3 linked regions of the Ovis aries genome follow. The protein of the gene in region 1 purifies or fractionates together with the protein of each later gene. This does not show direct contact. Links are inferred from orthologs where the notes say so. Each region holds a gene or a part of one and is shown on either strand. Other genes may lie near its edges.

Region 1 (3,560 bases):
TCCCTGAGAGCCGCCCCTAGTGCCAAACCTGGCCCCTCCCGGCCTCAGCAGCCAGGGCAGAGAAGCAGGCTGGCTGACGCTGAGACAAACCAAGTCGCCCTCTGTGCCCCACGACGGGAATGTCACATGCAACCACTGCCGCCTGCCTACTAGACACCTCAGGCATCCTCCGTGCTTCTGGAGGCCAGGCACGAGTCACACCCCAACCTGGGCCCTAGGGCCCCCCACACACGCTGCAGAGCCTGCTGTTAGCTGAAAAGCCTCAGCTCAAAAGCTGGGAAAGGATGCCACATGCTAGTACCTGCTGGGGCCTGTCCACCAGAAGCACTGGGGCTTGTTTAAACAGCAAATCTGCCCTATGCACTTGCTGAAAGCCCGGGCTCAGCTTCCACCCCAGGAACCGGTCCTTCCAGTCACTCGGGTGCGGTGGCCCAACGTCTGTCACGGGTGCCTGGGCAGCATTTCCAGGTCGACCAGTTCCCCAGAAAGGCGGCAGACTGGGGCAGGGGCGGGACCCTCTGAGAGGGATGCACAGACTTTCTGGGGTGATTCAAGCTGAAAACCAACCTACGGTCATCACCGTGTGACCTGAACCCTGGCTCATCGCCACATCACCACGTGGCCTGCTGCAGCTCAATGCTAACCAGCCAGGTGTGCTGAGCTTTGGGCAGAGAAAGCAGGACACACCTGGTCATGAGGTTTCCCCTCGGTTCAAGCCGGGCTGAGCGCACCATGTGACCACCGAGGCCAACATCTGAGAGACACCCGGCTACCGAGGAGTGGCCCAGCAAGACTGGGGACAGAGAACAGGTACTTGGCCCTCACAGACACCAAACCCTCGACTGGGAACCAAAACGTCGCGGTGGCGATGACGAATTCGCCACCAATGTCCCCCGAGCTGGCATGCGAACTGGGGCTCACAGATCCTTGGAGAAACCCCGGGCACTGGTGCAAACTGCCCTCTCTTGGGAAGGACAAGCCTTTATTCCAAGATGATGCATCTCCCTATTTTTTTTTTTTAATATAACATTCGCCTAGTTCCCATTCTCTTGTGAGTGGACAGTGACAATAGATGGTCATTTAAAAAAAAAAAAAAGCCTTTTGCTTGTTAAAATTAAAAGTTAGCAACCCATGTCTGGCCCCAAAATTAAAAACAAAAAACTAAGATTCCAGCCCCCCAGATCCAACAGTCTGGTACCCGCTGGGCCGTGCATCTACTTTAAATGAGCCCAGCAGGGGCAAACATGGTTTCCTCACAGTGAGTCAGCCCCAAACTGGGCTTCGGTCCCCAACACGCTCTCATCTGAAGGAACTTACTCTCTGGCAACCGCATCTCCGCTTGGTTCTCTCCGATCCCCCCACCATGGGGGTAAAGGAAGCCAGGTCAGAATAATTTCCGCTCCTTTTTTGGCAGAGACTCCTACCTGGCTGGTCTCAGAACCCCCTCCCGCCCCCTCCGCGTGTTAATTCTGACAGCAGAACAGATTTTCCTCTCTCCTGGGCAAGCGGTGGGCCTGAGATCTAACTCCCACTCCCACATGCTCCCGGGCTCCGGGAGGGGCGCCACCAGCTGCAGGCAGAGAGCGGGAGGGGGAGGCGGAGGCTGGGAGCCAGAGAGAGGCCGACGGACGCCAGGCGGGAGGCAGCCAGCGCGAGTTACAGTGCGAGTGCCGCCCGGCGTGGTGCAGCGGAAACCTGAGGCCTTCTCTGGAGGGGCTCAGCTGGTGCTCGGGGTCCACAGGGGCCCTCACCTTGGGGGTCGGCCTTCTTGAACGCGTTGCCGGCGTCCACGAAGCAGGTGGCCGCGTCGTGCTTGCTCTGCAGTTGCAGGTGCAGCTGGGCCGCCTGGCAGAAGGCGCTTCCGGCAGCTGGAACAGAAGAGGGTGGGCCCTGCCTCAGAGCGGGGCTCCAGGCTCTGGAAGCCACTCAGATGACGTCTGCGGAGGGGGCTGAGCTCTCGTGAGCCCGAGAGAGGAGACTGACCTGGGGGAAGCGAGGCGCAGGCCTGGACCTCAGGCCACCTGATCCCAGCGGTGCCCCCCACCTCCACCCGGAAGCTGTCCCCCAGCCCCGGGAGCTTGGAACCAGCATTCCAGACTGCATCATGGGCTGGGGCCAGGTGGGGGTGCTGGGGAAGAGAGGGGCAATCAAGACCCAGCTGCACCACACCCCCACCACCTCCCCTTTCCAAGTCTGACTTCACCTCCCATCACGGCTCCCAGCCCTTCTGGTCTAACTCCCTAGCTCCTCTGTCCACATTCCAGTCTTCCCTGGGGAGAACTCACAGAGTCCCGGCCCCCAGGAGGTTCACATCTAGAAAGGGAAAGGAGATGTGGACGCCGTGAGCTTGAGTGTGTACATGGGTTCTCAGCTCCTCAGTCTGACTCTTTGCCACCCCATGGACGGTCGCCCACTGGGTTTCTCTGTCCATGGGATTCTCCAGGCAAGAATGCTGGAGTGGGTTGCCACGTCCTTCTCCAGGAGGATCTTCCCGACCTAGAGATCGAACCCATGTGTCCTGCGTCTCCTGCACTGGCAGGTGGATTCTTAACCCCCGAGCCGGCTGGGAAGCCCCTGTGAGCTTGAGTGCGTGGGGACAATGCCCACGGGTGGAGGGCAGCTGCGGCAACCACACCTGAAGCCCGGGCTGCCCTGTACTCAGCCACCCTGTCACCTTCCACAGGTCTGTTCCCGCGTCTCCATCTCCTAATGTGACTCGAGGGAGGCAGAGGGAGCCCTCCTCTTCCAGGGGTGGGACCTGTGCTAACTGGGAGCTCCAATGGCCACGTCCAGCTCCGTCCTGAAGCCCCTGCCCTTCCTCTTCCTCCAGCTGAGCCCGAATCATGGAATTCCTGACTTGGAGGAGGACAAGAGGGCCCGGCCCTATACTCTACCTTTAGAGCAGGAAACTAAACTCAGCCACCCAGGTTTTCACTCTCTGATTTCTTTCCTATTTTTAAGTGCTCCAAACTTGAGTGCAGAATTTCCAGGAAGGTAGTATCATTAGGGGGAAGAAATGGCTTAAGATTTTTGTTCGACTATTTGGGGGAGGGAGAGAGGTGACAAATTTTAGAAGTAAAGCAACATCCACGTGATTGAAAAAGAAATCTTTTAACGGTATTTTGTTTTTGGGGTGAGCATAAAAATACACACAGAATCTGGCTCCAGGCGCAGTGTATGCTCTGAAAGCTCAGGAGAAACTCTTCTGATTTTCAGAAAACCAAAAATACTCTCAGAGGAGGAGAGCCCATTTTGCCCACTGCCTCCACACCCGCCTCTGTAGCCCCGTCCCAGGTTTCCTTTGTAGTCTGAAGTCAGAAGTTCCTCCCTGGGTTTCAGCACTGTCTTTGCTTGATTTTCTTGATCCAATCTTGCAGTTTCTTTTTAAATTGGAGTATAATTGATTTACGATGCTGTGATGTTATGTTTGTTTCAGGTATACAACAAAGTGGATCAGTGATACATATTACACATACATATTATTTTTTCAGGCGCTCAGTTGCGTCCGACTCTTTGCCACCCCGTGGACTTCAGCACGCAAAGCTTCCCTGTCCTTCACT
Region 2 (4,292 bases), on another chromosome or scaffold:
TTCTGAGACTCACTGAGTGACTTTGGGGCATCCTTCTATAGAAGGTGGGTTCCAAAAGGGCAAGCCATTCTTGTCTGCCCTGTTATATCTCTGGCCCTAAAACAGTGTCTGGCCCATACAATAAATATCCACTGAATGAATAAATGCCTACAGGGTTAGGGTTAGGGAAGTGTCACCAAAAGCCTGAAGCATAAAAGAGAAGACCAGGGAATCATAAGCTTCATCTTCAGTTATATAAGAGGCTAAGACTCTATCAACAAATATTTACTGAGGGCCTAACATGTGCTGGGGTTCCTAGTTGGTTCAGTGGTAAAGAATCTGTCTGCCAGTGAAGAAGACACAAGAGATGCTGGTTCGATCCTTGGGTTGGGAAGATCCCCTGGAGGAGGAAATGGCAACCCGCTCTGGTATTCTTGCCTGGAAAATTGTATGGGCAGAGGAGCCTGGTGGGCTACAATTTGTGTGTGTTAGTCACTTAGTCGTGTCCGACTCTTTTGTGACCCCATGGACTGTAACCCTCCAGGCTCCTCTGTCCACAATCATGCCCTCACTTTAGTAACTCACAGGCCACGATAATATGTAATATTTTTGTGGGTTCCAGAGGGTAGACCCCCAGTGCAAGGTGGGGGTCTGGGGAGGGGGTTGTCTAAGTGACATGCTGCTCAATGTAACAGACTTTTTTCTAAGCCCGAGCTGCCCTGAAATGCCCTGCTCAAAGGTGGTGAGTGCAGCGGGACTGCAGTGTTCAAGCCGGGCGCCAGCCAGCCGCCCACCTGTCAGAAACTGTGCCAGGAGTATGCGGGAGAAGAGAGTTCCGCCTCGGGTGAGGTCACTTCCCACCCCCAGATGCTCTGCCTACAAAATCTCGCAAGTCTCTGACGCTGTATTTTATTCTTTTCTGAATTTCAAGGTCTCATGATGTTGACAGCTCCAAATTCTAAGTCCTCAGTCTGCCCACACTCGCGGACCCAAAAGAAAGGAAGCCGGATTCAGCCTGGGTCCTACCACCCACTGTCTCTGGGGGTAGTCAGCGCCCCCTCCCCGCCTCGCGGGGGTTCTGAAGAGAGGTAACTCGCGCGCGGGGTGCCGAGGACGTCGTGGGGAGATGGGTGTTCCAGAGATGGAGTTGACAGGGCAGAGACATGTGACAGTCGAAGCGTCACGTTCCGTGGTCTGAGAGGTTGGGACCAGGCCGGTCACATGACGCGCGCGGGGGGGTTTGCACTATGGGGTGATGCGAATTGAGAGGGCCTCACAGATCACGTACCAATGACGCATTCCCACCCCTTTTGGCAACTAGATTTCCGCTGGAAGATGCGATAGTTCCGGCAAAGGGGGCGGGTTCTCACGTCCTGGCAATTTCGCTTCCGTTCGGGGCGCTGAAGCTTCCGACCTCGGCCTTTCCCTGGGGTGGGGAAGGGACGCGATCCGGTGCGCATGCTCCAGTCTTTCCAGAGGGGGCGGGGCTGAGGCTACAGGAGAGGGCGGGGGGAAAGAAAAGGGAATTCCAACCTGTGGAATCTTGGGGGTCCCCGAGGTCGGCTCCTTCCCTTTGAAACTGTGAATGGTGCCAGGGACAGAGCCTCTAGCGACTCTTGGGGGAGGGTTTGGGGCCTGCAGGGTGAGGGCGGAGGGGAGTGTCAGAGTGTGAGTTGGGTACGGGAGTTCCAAACTTAGAATCTTGAGGCCCGCCGGGCTCCGGCGCCGGCGAGAGGGATCTCGGGCCGCCATGCGGGACAGGACCCACGAGCTGAGGCAGGTGAGAATTTGGCGCAGCAGGGTTGGGGACGGGTGGACGGGATGGGGTCTACTGGAATGCAGGACTCCTGGTCCTCGGGGCCGGGAGGGATGACTGTGGGCTAGGAAGGAAAGTCCCGGAAGCCCGTGAGTTCTACTGGGGGAGAGCAGTAGCAAGGAAGTGATGCCAGTGACCCCGGCCCTGGCAGGGGGATGACAGCTCGGACGATGAAGACAAGGAGCGAGTCGCGCTGGTGGTACACCCGGGTACTGCACGGCTGGGGAGCCCGGACGATGAGTTCTTCCAGAAGGTAAGAGGCTGGAGTCTCGGCCTGGATTCACGAGGGGCCTGGAGGGCCCGAGGAGCAGAGCAGCCTGGAGCAGCGCCCACATCTCCCTCAGCCCTCTCGGTCATCGTCCCCAGGTTCGGACAATTCGGCAGACTATCGTCAAGCTAGAGAATAAAGTCCGAGAGTTGGAGAAGCAGCAGGTCACCATCCTGGCCACGCCCCTTCCCGAGGAGAGTGAGTGAAACCCCGGGTGCAGAACGCATGCTCAGCTGGAGGCTTGTGGGGGTTGTAGTTCCACACAGGTGGTGGCCAGGGAGATTTGTTGAGGTAGAGGTTGCTATTTGGGCATCATGGCTTTCTCTTGTTTAGGCATGAAGCAGGACCTGCAGAACCTGCGTGACGAGATCAAACAGCTAGGGAGGGACATCCGCGCGCAGCTGAAGGGTGAGCTCCTAGGACTTTAGCCAGATACTTTCCTCTGATCCTGCCCAACTCCTGGTATTTCTGGGCAGTGTGTGGTCCAGAGAGGCCAGTGATATATATCCAGGTCACACAGCAGGCCAACGTCTAGAATCTCCATCTCCTGGCTTTCGGTCCAAAGTTCTTTCCACAGCATATGCCTGCCTCTCAAGTTCCCTTATTTATAATGAAACCATGTCCATTTGATCTTTGTCCAAGGCAGAGGTTAGCGTTGCTACCTCCACCTTCAGGTCGTTATCTGCATATAACTGTATAGTCTGCCGTCCACATCCCAGGTTCTGCAAGGGTGGATTCATGCAGTCATGGATTGTGTAGTACTGTAGTATGCATTTATTTTCTAAAAATTCAGGTATAAGTGGACCCACAGTTGTGCAAGGATCATCTGTACTCCTACAATTCTTGCTGCCCAGTGTGTATTCTTTGGGTGGGAAGATGTGGGTTTTGTTAGGAAGCTTCTCCAAACATGTGGGAATTCTCTGATGTATTTATTGCAAAGAAAAATATACTTTTGCCTGTCAGAGGCTCAAGAGTAGTCATTTATGATGAATTTTATTTCAAAAAAAAAGCTCTGTGGAGATATTGTATCTCTCTCTATTGTATGGCTGCATGGCTGGGTCCCAGTCCCCAAATGAATTTCAGAAGCCAGAGGTCAAACCCCCTCCTCTACCAATACTTCTGTGTCTTTCCACAGCCATAGAGCCCCAGAAGGAGGAAGCTGATGAGAATTATAACTCCGTCAACACAAGAATGAGAAAAACCCAGGTGGGTTCATTATTCCCAGAAGTAGGACATTTCAGCAAGTGTTCAATAGATCATTAGATGGCAGATGTAAGAAGGCAGGGCTCTTAGAGATCATTAAATCCAACCTGATGATTTTCCAAATGAGGAAACTGAGGCTCAGAGATAAAAAAGGATTTACCCCAAGGTCAAGAACCCGGGTTTCCTGACTTCCAATCTGTTATAACACCTTGCCTTCTTCTCCTCCATTCAGTGAGAAGTTGCTGAGACCCCAGACATGATCTGGGCTTGGTTGTAGGAGATATACTTTCTAGAAGCCAAGATGGGGAGTTAAGCTTGCATAGATGACAAAGACATTACTCAGGTAGGACTTGGTAGTTAATGGCTCTGCCCAGGGAAAAAAAGGGTGCAGTCAAGTGACTGGGTGGTTTCCTACCCATGTGATGAGGACATCCTCTGCCCCAAGGACAGAATTCAAGTCAGGAAGAGGAACTTCCCTGGTGTGTGTGTATGGGGAAGGTCACTGAATCATCATCTTAATAAGGAGATTTGAAATGGTCTGAGCAGTGTCCTCTGGGTGCCCAGAGAGGCATGGTTTGGAGTTCTTGGAGGTCAGAGTTGGAGTAGGTGGGCCCAGAAATCAGCAAAGACCCCAGATTGAAGATTAAACAATTTGGGGATTTTTTTTTTAATGGAAGAGAAGGAAAGAGTAGTTTTATTACTTTGCCAAACAAAGGGGGGAACACAGTAGGCTAGTGCCTCAAGAACTGCCCCCCCACAATTTGGGCATCTTGAAAGGGTGCAACTGAACCCAGGACAGCAGATGTGTCCTGGAGAAAGGAACTCCAAGGAATGAGCAGATTTTAGGCATCAGGAAAATGGACAAGCAGGGAAGGCATTTACAGGGGGTGGGGGGCTTGTGGTAGTCATTGTGTGAGAGGCTGAGTGCCCAGGTGGGCCTGCAAAATCTGGGAAATGCAAAATCCTGGCACACCTTTAGTCTAAGCAGGGAGGCTGGTGTTCAGCAAGCATTCCACTAATATTCTT
Region 3 (4,137 bases), on another chromosome or scaffold:
AATTGTTCCAGCAGAGGCTGAATGACAATGACCATTTGACACCATGGTAGAAGACACATCCTTGTTGAGTGGGAGGAAGGGAAGTTAGGTCAGGTTACATCTTTGAGCTATTTTAAATGTAAGATATTATGATTTTGCCAACCTAGGCTCCCATATACCCAAGGATTGCCTTCCATTTCACTTTCTCACTGTGCTAAATAGCACCATCAGTTTGTCTTGTCTATATGCCTGTCCATTTTTGTGTGGAGTCAATCATTAGGTCTTCCTCCCAAAATCCTCTCAAGAAATAAGTTTTCTCCTAGTAGCTGTAGAGTTGTAGAAAAGGTAACAAAACGTGAGCTCTTTAACCTATGGTTAAATGTTAAGACGGAATCATATCAGGATTAGGAGGATAGGTTTTGGAGTTCAACAGCTCAAATCCTAGTCCCATTACTCCTAGCTATGTCATTGTGGAAAAATTACTCTCTGAAGTTTTTTCTTTAACTACAAAGTGGGGACCTACACTTTCTCAGTATATAATCACAAATATCCTGAGAGGCAGATAATATTCTCATATTAGAGATGGGGGCACCAAAGGAAAAAGCGATGGTAACATTTATTCAGGTGGAGTTGTCTACAGGTTTCTCCAATGGGGAGTAAATGAAGAGTTACTGGAAGTTTTGCAAGACTGTCCTGCTACCTATAATGATAGATCGCAGCTTTCAGCAGGGTGACTGATCTAGGTAATTTCTGAGATCCTGTAATATGATCACTTACTCACATATGCAATTAATATTTTTTACCAGAATCTGTTTAAGGACCTGGGCATACAGCATACACAAGCAAAAAAACAAAAACAAAAACAAAAAAAACAAACCCATACAATACACACACACACACACACACACAAAGAACTCTGCCTAAAAATATAAAAATACAGAAAATAATTTGTGCTGGATATACAACATATAAAACAAAAAAATAAATATGAAAATATATCATCTGATTGTCAGGTTTTTCATATACCCTTCATCTAAGTACCCAATAACTCCTGCCGTCCTTCCCAGCCCTCTCCCCCAACTTAAAGTATCAGAAACTAGAAAATTCTATTTCAGTTTGTATGCCACGCCCTCTCACGGGTCAAGGCTTATTCAAAGCTGGAAATCCAGAAAAGTGGCCTGGGCCTTGGGAGTTTCTGCAGGTGTAAGGAGAGATCCCGGAACTAGTGTTCCGGTAGTTGTGGTTCCCGATGGGAAGCCAATTCTGGGGACCGGTAGTGGAGAGCGCTGGAGCTTGTTTCCGGCCACCTCAGCGGGAAGCGGAGACGCGAGTAGCTGGGTCTTCGGCAGCTGAGGTAGAGGTTTAACTGTTGTCCCGGCGGAGCAAGTCGAGACACATCTACGGCCGTCTGGGCCAGTGCTGGGTCTCCGTAGCCTGTAAAGATGGTGTTGCTCACGATGATCGCCCGAGTGGCGGACGGGCTCCCGTTGGCCGCCTCGATGCAGGAGGACGAACAGGTGAGCTGGTAGATCCTTAGGACCCCAAGTTCGTGCCAGAGCGCTATGCTGTCCGCCCCGGATTCCTTGTTAGGACGCGGGAGACCCCTGAGTCTTCCCAGGCGTTTCTGACTTCTCTGAAGTGCGTTTTCTCTTTTGACAGGGGAGAAGACTACCTGGAGAAAAGTAACCTTTGCTGAAGGCGGGGGTAGATTTTTATGTTACCTATTTCTTATTAGAAAAACACTCCGGAGAAGGGATAGGTTTGGCTAATTGTGATCATCCAGTGTTCTGTAATTCTTTATAGACTCTGCTAAAATCCAGGATTTCTAATTTTTTTGCTGTTAATAAGGCTGACAGGTCCTGGGGAAAATCAGCTCCTAGTTCTTTAACTTCTTTCTGTAGCACCTGATCCTTGACCCAGCTTGCTGACATCTATTGAAAGCAGATGAGGTAATATTGCCACATATATGCACCTGTTTGAAGTTCAGTATAGTGCTTTCTTTCCCAGTTATGTCCAATTCCCACCTCCTTCAGTGAGCCTTACTAAATTCTTACTGTTGCAGTTATGACCCCTGTGTTATATTTCTATAATGCCTTGTACTTTTGCCTTTGTCTTTCAATAAATTAAATTTCCTAGCAGGCAGATGACAAGTCTTAGTCATTTTTGTATTTCCCATAGCTTTTACAATAGCAGTTTTAGTATAATAGGTGCTCAAAAATATGTTGCATTGATTAAAACAAACAAAAAAAAGTCCCAGAAAAAAGCCCTAGATAGCTTCACAGGAAGAGGCTTTGTGCCTTAAAATCACAAGGCAAATTTCTGGTGTGAGTCCAGTTCCTGGAGTAAGGTTGGGGAATTCTGGAAGAAAGGAGGCTGAGAATGAAATTTATATAATTTATTTAAATTTGTTTAAAGTGATCAACTTTCTTTTACTTTCTTATACAAGTAATTTAAAAAACTTTCAAGGCCTAGAAAAGTTGAGTGCTAGAAAAAAAATATTTTGTGCATTTTTTAACCTTCCATTCATATATTCATGAAAAAAACCAACTCTCATTAAGCACATCAGGTGTGCCAAGCATGGTGTTCATTCAGGGGCTTAGGGAACATAGTCCCTACTTTCTTGGAGCTTACAGTTTAGTGGAGAAGTCAGATCACTAACAAATAACTGTAATGTAGATAATTGCTGTAGAAGAGGAAGAAGTTTCTGTGATTGAACATGGAAAAGGTATCTAAATTGATTTTCGGACATCAGGAAAATCTTCCGCAAAAGAATGACATCCAAGCCAGTATTAGTGTCTCCTAATTGAGAAAGCTTCTATTTGGTTATATGCCCTTTTAGGTTTGATTTGCAAATACATTTACTTTAACTTTTATGAGAACAACGATACAGATTGTGAAGTTGTTGTGTTGCTTAGTAGGTTATGCTGAGTGAAATATTTTCTATTCACTACACAAAACAAAGTCTAAGCTGATAAAAAATCTGAAAAATATAGCATGCCCTGAACTTTGAATTGTGAAGTATTTTTCTTTTCTCCAGCATTAAACATTTTCTTGGACTATGCAGATGGAGTGAAATTATTAAAATGAATGCAAAACATGATTTGAAACAAAGGAGATGGTGTAAGGAAATTTTCCTTGAAGGATATGTAGTTTGACTAAGAAATAGTTTTTGCAAGAGAACCAAAATCTGGTCAGTTTTCCAACTATTGCTTTGAATTCCAGTGTGGGCAAAGAATATAAAGTAGATCTGAAAGTCTGAATATCAGTAGGCCCTTATTCTTTGCCTTGACACTTTATTGAAAAAATTAGTTGGTTATACTGTGTGTTTCTTAATTCCAAATTAGGTATCAGTCTACCAATATGGGTTCCTTTGTTTAATTGAAAAGGAAAGATGTTTTACACAAAAATATTTTTATGATTATAATTCTGTAGTGATTTCCTTTAGCAGTTTTGACTTTGAATGATAACGTCCTTTCTAAACTTTTAACATCTGCAAAAATATAAATCTTTGACTTATTTTTTACTATTAAAATAGAGCACTGTATATTTAGAGAGAGTGCCTATGCATGCATGCTGAGTAGCTTCAGTTGTGTCCAACTCTTTGTGACCCTATGGACTGTAGCCTTTCACTCTCCTCTGTCCATGGGATTCTCTAGGCAAGAATACTAGAGTGGATTGCTATGCCCTATTCCAGGGAAATCTTTCTGACCTAGGGATTGAACTTGTGTCTCTTATGTCTCCTGCATTGGTGGGTGGGTTCCTTAGCACTAAGCACCACCTGGGAAGCCCATAGAGTGCCTGCTATATACCAACCATTCCACTAAGTCTGTTTAATGCATGATTTCATTTAGTCTTCATACAAGCTATTGTTGTTTAGTTGCTAAGTCGTGTCTGATTCTTTGTGACCCCATGGACTGTAGCCTGCCAGGTTCCTCTGTCCATGGGATTTCCCCAGCAAGAGTACTGCAGTGGATTGCCATTTCCTCCTCCAGAGAGTCTCCCTGACCCAGGGATCGAATCCATGTCCCCTGCATTGGCAGGCAGATTCTATATTGCTGAGCCACCAGGGAAGCCCTTATATCAACTACTAGGATGGGTACTTTTATTATCTACATTTATAGATAAGGAAGCGCTGAGGCTAAGAGAAGAAAAGTCTCT

What was found. Proteins that work in one complex are often made in the same cells at the same time.
Region 2: the proteins of NAPA (region 1) and STX4 purify together in Homo sapiens (affinity purification with mass spectrometry; 4 studies listed by BioGRID and IntAct, with this or other methods). This does not show direct contact. The link is inferred for Ovis aries from reciprocal best matches to the Homo sapiens genes NAPA and STX4.
Region 3: the proteins of NAPA (region 1) and SEC22B purify together in Homo sapiens (affinity purification with mass spectrometry; 3 studies listed by BioGRID and IntAct, counting the BioPlex papers as one, with this or other methods). This does not show direct contact. The link is inferred for Ovis aries from reciprocal best matches to the Homo sapiens genes NAPA and SEC22B.

Annotation. Positions count from the first base shown.
Region 1 is NC_056067.1:54,230,269-54,233,828, forward strand, and holds part of NAPA (alpha-soluble NSF attachment protein), read right to left. Parts: intron 1,869-3,560; coding exon 1,752-1,868; intron 1-1,751. UniProt on the Homo sapiens protein: Required for vesicular transport between the endoplasmic reticulum and the Golgi apparatus. Together with GNA12 promotes CDH5 localization to plasma membrane.
Region 2 is NC_056077.1:27,673,224-27,677,515, forward strand, and holds the start of STX4 (syntaxin-4), read left to right. Parts: upstream 1-1,444; 5' UTR 1,445-1,729; coding exon 1,730-1,759; intron 1,760-1,946; coding exon 1,947-2,048; intron 2,049-2,161; coding exon 2,162-2,261; intron 2,262-2,396; coding exon 2,397-2,471; intron 2,472-2,973; exon of another isoform or gene 2,974-3,198; coding exon 3,199-3,269; exon of another isoform or gene 3,270-4,292. UniProt on the Homo sapiens protein: Plasma membrane t-SNARE that mediates docking of transport vesicles. Necessary for the translocation of SLC2A4 from intracellular vesicles to the plasma membrane.
Region 3 is NC_056054.1:97,585,400-97,589,536, reverse strand, and holds the start of SEC22B (vesicle-trafficking protein SEC22b), read left to right. Parts: upstream 1-1,289; 5' UTR 1,290-1,421; coding exon 1,422-1,496; intron 1,497-4,137. UniProt on the Homo sapiens protein: SNARE involved in targeting and fusion of ER-derived transport vesicles with the Golgi complex as well as Golgi-derived retrograde transport vesicles with the ER.